Linked DNA regions of Coturnix japonica. The protein of the gene in region 1 purifies or fractionates together with the protein of each later gene. This does not show direct contact. Links are inferred from orthologs where the notes say so. Each region holds a gene or a part of one and is shown in the gene's direction. Other genes may lie near its edges.

Region 1 (4,307 bases):
TATCTCATTTAGGGCTGTTTTTTGTTGCCAGGTGGAGTATTGCCCCTGTGTGATCGCCAACGACTGCTGGAACCTGCTGATGGAGTTCATGCAGAGCTTCATGGGCAGCCACACTCCCGGCATCCCGACTGTGTTTGGCACCAAACACGACAGCGTCTACAGCCCCGCGGACACGATGGTTCAGTACATGGAGCTGTTCAACAAGATCCGCAAGCAGCAGCAGGTGCCGGTAGCAGGGATCAGGTGAAGGGACTCGTGGAGCTCAATGTGCAGCAGCTGCAGGTCGGGGTCCGTCCAAAGAGCAGCTCTGCAGCCAGAACAAGGCACTGAATAACTGTGATGTCAGCAGCTCTGGGAGGAGCCGGTTGCTGAGCCGTCATCAATGGCAGCATCACCATGAGGGAACTGCACGAGGAATCGTGTGCCGAGTTCCTGCAGCTCCCGGTGGGGTCCATGTGCATTGACTGCACTGTGCCTGTTGGTTTCCAGGTGCTGGTTTCGGGCTGTGGCTGTAAAAACAAACCCTGGATTTGGTTGGGTCGCGATTTCAGTTGTTTCACTTTTTAATAAGGTTAAAAACAAAGAGTTTCCTTTCAATGACCATTTTAGTGACGCTGAACATTGTGACGCTTTACTCATTCCCTAAGGTTGGTCTTAAAGATGTAAAACATGCTGGGATCCCTGCAGACCTCACTGCCCCCCCCCCCCCCCCCCCCCCCCCCCATGGCCCCGTTATCGCCGCGCTGCCCCTTTAAGATCCCTTTGTCTGCTCCATCCCTATTGACCCTCAACTTCAGCCGGGATTCACAAAGCCCGCTACGTCACCGCCCGGGGCCGGGCCCAGCCGCTCCCCGCCCCTTAACGCTGCCTCCCGCTACGCAACCGTGAGCCGTTCAGGAGCGCCCCCTAGCGGCTGCGCAAAGCTCGTAAGCTCCGCCAGACCTCCGATTACTACGGCGCTAGCTACGCAAACAGCGTCCACTCGAGCGCCTTTAGCGCCGTTAGCTCCAGAGACGGTTACGGAATTGGCGTAGGCGGTGGAAGTGAATGGGGAACGGGGAGGGGGGCGGGGCGAGCGCGTTGTGTGGCGCGCCCTCCGACCAATGGCGGTGAGGGGCGGGGCGCGGCGGGCGGCCAATGGGCGGGGAGGGGGCGTGTCCCGCGGCGCGGCGGGGTCTCCCGGCGGTGACAGCTCGTGTCGGTGATGGCGGTAAATAAAGGGAGGGGGGGGGGGGGGGGGGAACCACGGGGCTGTGGGAGGGTCCGACCCACACACGGTGCCCGATGCGCTGCGGGGGGCGGGAACTGCGGGACGGGCCGGAACACGGCGGGGGGGGCAACGGGGGGGGGTTACCTGCTGTGGGGAACCGGGAATGAGGGCAGGAACCGGCCGGGGGGCGAGAGGCCTTTTGGTGTGACAGGGGGGGAACTAGAGCGGACAGGAACGGGAACAGAAGAACTTTGTGTGTGGGGGCCCGGGGAGAGAGTGGGGGGGGTGAGGGGTGTATGGGGGGATGTGGGGATATGGGAGATATGGGGGATATGGGGTGTAGGGGGGCGGCGTTGCCTCGTGTTGCCGGCCGTCTCGCTGGGCCCGCGGGGTCGGGGCCGCCAAGATCCCGGCTCAGTTCGGTCCCGCTGAGGCTCCGTTCCCCGCCTCGGAGCTGCTGCCCGTCGGGTCGGGTCGGTTCCGGGCCCTGGGCCGGGCTCGCTGCGCTGTTGCCGGTACCGCAGCGCTCGGACACTCGTTTCCCCGCGTGTCCCTTCGTGTGAGGGCGGTTCTGACAGCGCCGCGTTCGGGGCCTTTTGCTGTTGCACAAGTTGTGTTTGTTCCCAGTTGATGCTCTTTATCCAGCAGCAGCGCGTTGTAATCGGGGCTTTATTCAGCTGTTGCGCATCCACACGTCGTTGCTTTAGAGTTAAAGGTCGTTGCAGCGGTTGCGGAGCTGCCGACACGCCGGGCTGAGCCCCGCGATGTGCTCAGCAGCTCCCGGGAGAACAAAGTCCCGCTCAGCCGGGGCCGTTGGTGCCGCTCGGGGGTGGCAGCTCGGAGCGGCTCCTGCTGCAGCTCCTCGTCATCTCACGTTTGGGGTCCATAACTTGCTTGTTGTCCTTCCCTGGCCGTGTCTGGCCGCTGACTTTGCTTCCTTCCTTGCTAAAATGCACTTCGTTGCTGGCTGCTTCCTTTAAATGGTTGGTTGGTTCTCAGCACTTACAGAGGAGCTACAAGTACTTCGGTGGTGGCAGAAGCGCCGTGTTACAGAATCCATCTTGTAAGGTCTTATTTTAATCAGCTTCAGGGCTTCTTTCGGTAGTGCTGAGTCCTTCCCCCTCTGTCCTCCTCTCCCCTCTGCTTTGATATCAATTTATGTCTTAGGACCTCTGCTAGGAGTCACGAAGTTTAGCGTAGCTGTGTTCTCACCATCAGAGGAGCTTCACATTCAGATCAGCTGGAGATGGAACTGCTTGAGGATTCGGCTTCTGTCGCACAAGATGTGCAGACACAAATTCTTTCACGTGCACTTTTGGTTTGAGGAAGTAGTGAAGGTTTCTGGAGCTGCCCTGAGTCAGAGCAGAACTCAGGGCTTCTGTCTTCAAGCTGCTCGATAGAAAGGAACAGAGAGATGCTGAGATCAGTGGTTTGAGAAATCTCACCCGTAACGCCATTGAGATTAAATGGGAGAAAAAGGTGAGTCCCATAGTAACAGCTTTGAGCTTGTTGTGCTGTGAAGGACTTGCTGCCTGGGAGCTCAATGCTGAGAGTTCTGTGAGAACTTTGGTGCAGCGCCGCTGTGGTTTTCACCCTGAATGTTCCATCAGTGCTTTGGGTTGGGGCTCTGGGGGTGGTTGGGTTTTTTTTCCCCTCCCTATTGTGGGGATTGAAACCTCCAGAGCCGCTCTGGTCTCTTGTGTTAATTGCTCTGTGTGTGAACTCTGCACCTTCCCTGAGCGCTTCAGCACAAGCAGCAGAGCTGAGCTGGGCAGCACGAACCCCCCACGGCTCCCTTCAGTGGAACACCATCCTCGTTAGCACGAAGCCCTTAATGAACAATTGCTCTGGAGCACATGAGCTGCGCTAAGCAATTTCAATACATATGTATATTTAAGTGGGAAATCGGTATATTCCTAACATCCAACGCATAAACCAGAATGTGCTGCTTGTTTCTTCCTGCTTGTGTGCACCGCTGCCACTCTCCACTTCTGAGATCAAAGATGGCTCTGGTGATGCTGCTGAGCCGTGCACAGCTTTGCCACCACTGGCATTTATGGCCCCACAGCACAAACAGCCCCTGCACTGAGGGACAGGAGGCAGAAACCCAGGCTGAGTTCTGAGCGTCATCAAGGAGTGATTCCTCCGTGGTCTAAAGCAAGTTTGTGGTATGTCTGCAGCGAGTGGTTCCTATTGCAGCATACTGAGCACAATGCAAATTAAATGCTCTTTATTGCACTGTTTTCTGCTGCTTTTGAAGGATCTCCCTCTACCCCCCCCCCCATGCTGTTGCAAAGTGATTTAGTACCATAGGTAGAAACAAAGAAAACTTGGCTGCTTTGTGCTAAGTGTTGTTAATTAGCTGACAGTAATGAGCTGATGTTAACTGTTACACCTCCAGTGCACGACAAAGATGGGTTTGAAGCCAGCAGACTTGGGTGGAAGGGATGCTTCAAAAGGAAGCTCACAAGGCAAGTTCCTGCAGTCGGGCAGCTCCATTGCTATGCTGCCCTTTTTGGAAGCTCCCTGAGAAAGCAGCAGCACAACATGGGCTGTTACTGAGGCCCTTTCCTTGTCCCACTGCTTTGCTGTGTGGTTCAGCTGCGTTTTCAGGTGAAGAAGAACATTGGAATACGTGGATGTGAGGGCTCGAAGTTGTTATGAGCACATTTGAAATGTATCTGGTGTAACACGGTGGTGGTGACAAATGTGTGGTCACAATACAGAGATGTGTTTTCAAAAGGCTGCTTAACTAAGGGAAAAAAAGCACATCTGCAGGCAAATTGGAACTGCTAAATAACACACTCCATTTATTTCTTCTGGCACACCTCAGTGTGCAGTATATATCACAAACCCTTTTACACCCCCAACTAAGTGTACTGGGAAAGAAACTTTCTTTTTTTTCTTGCTGTGTGAACCCAGTGCTGGATCTGAAAGAACCAGTTTAATGGAGAAAAGCTTCAGTGCATTGATGTTCTTTTCAGTCAAACCATGGAAGATCAAGCCAAGAGTTATGGGCCGCAGCTGCGTTCCTCCATTGAGACCTTCTATAGGACATCAGCTGAGCTGATTAAGAAATGGTGACCACAGCTGTGTG
Region 2 (4,397 bases), on another chromosome or scaffold:
AACTGCTTCCAGCAGGCTTTTGGCAATACCTGGTATAGTGTTCACAGATAGGCCCTACACATAGACAGACAGAAGAATGGTTAGTGCTGCTGTCTCACATCTGCTGTGTGATCTCACTCAAGACCAGTAACCTTTCCTAGCTCCAGGGTCTGTCTGATGGGTCTATAGTTCCCTGGATCCTCCTTACAACCCTTCTTGTAGATCAGAGTCATAGGTGTATTTTTCTTGTCCGTGGAACACATAAATACTTGACAGCTGGCTTTAGGCAACCAGTAAGCTTCCTGGCAGCCAGAAAAATGAGAGATGAGCTACACATCTTGCTCCAATTTATAGGAGGAAGGAGAGGTACTTTGACATATGTATACCTGGCGTGAGATTAAGAAACAATGGTTCAAATGTTGGTCCAACCAGTTTATTATAAGTCCTAGAAATGGGATGGGAGAAAGCCAGGAAGCTCCACAGCAAGCGGGGGGTGGTTCTTCCAAAGAGGTCTTCCCCTCAGGGAATTCTCCATCAAAGGTGTCTTTGGGGGTTTGTCTCCAAAGTCCCCAGTTTAGTGAGGGCCTTTTATCCACTATTTCTGTGGTGTTTTTTTTTTTTTTGTTTGTTTGTTTTTTCTTTTTTTTTTTTCTTTTTTTCTTTTCTCTCAGTCAGTGTGACATTCCTGACCCAACAGATAAGACAGCAGGGGGTGGTATGTTTGTTGTCATGCACAAGCATTATCGCCTTTTGCAGTGGTCAGCTCTTTCATGCTGCACCCCTGAAAGAGACTGCTTGTCCCACTTCTGCTTATCTTTACAATCATAAGCAGAGGTACAGTGGCATGGTGACACCCACCATTCATCCCCCTAGAGATAATTAGCAGTTGTCAGTTAAGAGTCTTATCACCAGAAAGGCCTCACAGAGCAAGCTTTGAAACAAAGAGAAACAGTTCTGTCTTTCACATATGACTATTAGGCACCTACAGGTACCTAATCACATTCCGTGCTGCTAGATCAGATCATTATCCAATTCTTACACTTGAAATAAGTATCAGAATACTTCATACGTAGTCTTTGATGTGTTTTTTAATAAGACTTGCGCTGACTGATAAGTGCTGACTTTCAGAAGCTGTTCCCATACACTGACTGTGCACAACCATGTCACTGCTGACGTTTCTCAAGGGTGACACAGGACACATCCTACCAGAGCCAACCCTCAGCCTGCAAAGGGCGGCAGCTTCAGCGCTGCCCTGCGTGTGGAGAAACACGCCATATCCACGCTCACTCCCAAGATGGCGCCGCCGTCACCGCACTGACGGCCTCCACAGTAAGCCCCGCCCCTCCCACAGCGACACAACTTAAGCTGACCCACACGGAACGCTCCCTTCTACTTGAGTGGCAGCGCGATAACCTATGAACGCGTCGAGAAGGCGGGAGCAGATCTGGCTGATAACCAATCAGACGGTGAAATGAGGCGGGGGGGGCGTGGCTTGTCGTTTCCACGGGGAAGTCGGCGCGTTGGGACGCGGCAGTGGCGGTAGTATGAGCTTGTCCTTGAGGTACGTGTGCGACCGGCCAGCAGGTCGGGCTGCGGGGCGGCACAGTGGTGGGGAGGAGGTGTTCCTACGGGGCGGCCGGGCCTCGTCACCGCCGTGTTTGTGTCGGCGTTAATCTGCATTCAGAGCTGTAAGTAGATTCCTCTCGGCTGTCCGCGTCCCAGCTGCTGGTCCGGCACAGTCGTGTGGGGCCTTCCCGAAGCGGCGGCCGGGGCACGGTGAGGTAACAGAGCCGGCATGTGCTTCTCGTGTCTATCTCTGGAGTCTGCCCGGTGCCGGTCATTGGTTGGTGACAGATAAATCTCAGCTGCGTGGTTAATCTCCGATGTCAATTAGAATTAGATAATCTTCAGTGAGGGGGAAGAAAAAAGAGCTGGTTACGGGGTGTGGGGAGTAAGCACCTTTGGAAAGCAGTTCTCCGTTCACACATAAGTGACTACCATGCACTGTGCAGTAAGTGGTACTACATGTGTTTTGTCAGTGCTGCAGGTAAGTGAATATAAAGGGTTTCCTGAGATCATTTTGAATTGCACAGCAGCCTAGGTTTGGAAGATATTGTGAAAGTTATCTTGTCCAGCTCTGCTCAGAGGTGGAGGTTGAGGGCCTTTCCCAACACTACTAACAGCTGAGATCCTGTGATCTCCCAGTGGAGCTATTCTGCTGCATAACCACTTGCACTGTGGCAGTGGTAGACCTTCTAGGTCTGCTACCACCTTCTGCTTTTACTGCTTGTAGCTGACTCTTGTTGCTATGCATCTCTGATGGGGACTTGCCTGTCTGCCTTGTCTAATCCTCTAGACAGTGCCTTAGCCTTCCCACACAGGGTCCTTTTGCCAACACACCTGGATTGAAACAAACGCATCTCCTTCAGCTCCTCCTTAACCAGATGCTGCAGCCACCTAGGTACTGATCACAGTCCCCTTTATTTTAGCCATCTTCTCTGCATCTGTTGTACTGGGGCACCCCAATTCAATGCAGTACTTTGGGTGCAGGTGCACAACTGCAGAATGGTAGGATTTAGCACCAAAGGAGCTGTGCTCATTGCTGCAGGTTTGTTGTGCTGTTGATTGCAGACCTTTATGTCTGCATATCCCAAGAGTGTGCTTTCAGCCTTTTTAGGGGACTTGACTGTTTTGTATGTATGAGCAACAGAGCAAAAACGTATCTGGTTTATTATGTATATGATAATATTTTTAAAAATCCATAAATATTTGGCATCAATGAAACTCTACTGGCAAAAAATCCAAAGATTTATGGCACTTAACACTCACTTCAGCAGCTGGACTAAATGCCTAACTAAAGCTCTAGCTGTCTCCTAAAACTTTCTAGTTTCACTACAGTTTAGAAATAAGGTGTCTTCTAGAGTTGTACCATGTCAGCTGCAGTCTATCTTGTAACTGCAACCTCAAGTATTCTTTTTAACTGGTAGATTTTTCTAATTTTGATTGATTGATTGTTTATTAACTAGATCACCTCTGCTGGGCAGAGGAGTAGAGAAGCCATTCAACCTGTGCAAAGGAATTGCCTGTTTCAGGTATTACTTCAAACTGGGAGATCAAGTTGGGAAGAAGCTGAATGGGGATGGCAATGAACTTGTGCTATTATTATTATTATTGGTGGGAAAATGGTGTCTTTCCAGTATTAATCAGTTGTATTGAATTTCCCTCTTGTCATGTAGGAGTGAGCTTTCAGCAGACAAAACTAAAAAGAAGAAGAGAAGAGAACTGACTGAGGAACAGAAACAAGAAATTAAAGATGCCTTCGAGTTGTTTGATACAGACAAAGATAGAGCAATAAATTACCATGAGTTGAAGGTATTTTTATTTATTCAGAATTTAAATATCTTTGGGGCAGGTATTATACATCTGAATGAATTTTTAAGTTATCAACTCTATCTTGAAAAATGCTAAATGGTCAAGATGTCCTGCAAGGCTGAAGTGGGGATATTTGAATAATTGCTGATGTGTATTGATGTAAGACTCATCTACGTCTTACACTTGCCACAGTAGTAGAGTTGCTATAGCATACTGTGTAGCAGATCTTACTGCTCCCTAGAGTTTAGCTTGGGCAGATGAGTAAGCTGGAGAAGCTCTGCTTGGTTTTTCTGAAGACACTGTATAATCTAAAACTTGATGCTGTTAAAATCCAAGTGTCTCAAATGCTTAGATAAAAGATATGTCAAGTTTATAAAACATGACTAGAAGCTGGAGTTTACCCACTTGCATTTTTTTCAGCAGGGAGCGTGTATACCAATGATGTTGTCTGCTATATTTATGTGTTGCTCTGTAGTTTCCTTTCCCAATGCTGGCCTCTCCTGTTAACATCTATCAGCAAATGGAGATTAGGATGGCAGCATTTTCTAGTGGGTGCTCCTGTTTGGCAGTCTGTGGAATTGATTCATTTGTTTATGAAAGTCTCTTTAAATCTCTCATAAATTTCTATGTAAATTATACTTCATCAAGAACATACTGTCTTATAGAGAGGCCAGCATTCCTCTAATGTATTGAGTAAGATAATTTTGGAAAGGAATATTTATGTTCCATAATCTTATTTTATCCTGTAGCTGAAGAAGAAAAAGGGCTTTTGTTTTACTTTAATTAATTTTACAATAATGTTGTGAGTATAGTGATTCCCTCTTCTTTTTTTTTTTTTAGATTTTGTGTGTTTTGCCTCTGTTGGAAGCTGTAATGAGAGGGATACTACTGCAGACTAGACTATTCATACAGTTTTTCCAGTCAGGGTGTTCTTCACATTCTCAGCGGTCATGGTGGCAAAATCATTTATTACCAGTCTAATTAAATATGGCCCTGAAGATAACACAATGGAAGAACTGAAATGTATAAAGAAATACCTCCTCCTG

The links.
Region 2: the proteins of USP49 (region 1) and CETN3 purify together in Homo sapiens (affinity purification with mass spectrometry; 4 studies listed by BioGRID and IntAct, with this or other methods). This does not show direct contact. The link is inferred for Coturnix japonica from reciprocal best matches to the Homo sapiens genes USP49 and CETN3.

The regions. Positions count from the first base shown.
Region 1 is NC_029541.1:4,731,046-4,735,352, reverse strand, and holds the start of USP49 (ubiquitin carboxyl-terminal hydrolase 49), read left to right. Parts: upstream 1-1,205; 5' UTR 1,206-1,210; intron 1,211-1,550; exon of another isoform or gene 1,551-2,689; intron 2,690-2,697; exon of another isoform or gene 2,698-4,307. Other genes in the region: MED20 (mediator of RNA polymerase II transcription subunit 20), read left to right, coding at 32-229, 1,035-1,205. UniProt on the Homo sapiens protein: Deubiquitinase that plays a role in several cellular processes including transcriptional regulation, cell cycle progression or innate immunity.
Region 2 is NC_029547.1:53,318,007-53,322,403, forward strand, and holds the start of CETN3 (centrin-3), read left to right. Parts: upstream 1-1,412; 5' UTR 1,413-1,523; coding exon 1,524-1,540; intron 1,541-3,215; coding exon 3,216-3,351; intron 3,352-4,397. UniProt on the Homo sapiens protein: Plays a fundamental role in microtubule-organizing center structure and function. As a component of the TREX-2 complex, involved in the export of mRNAs to the cytoplasm through the nuclear pores.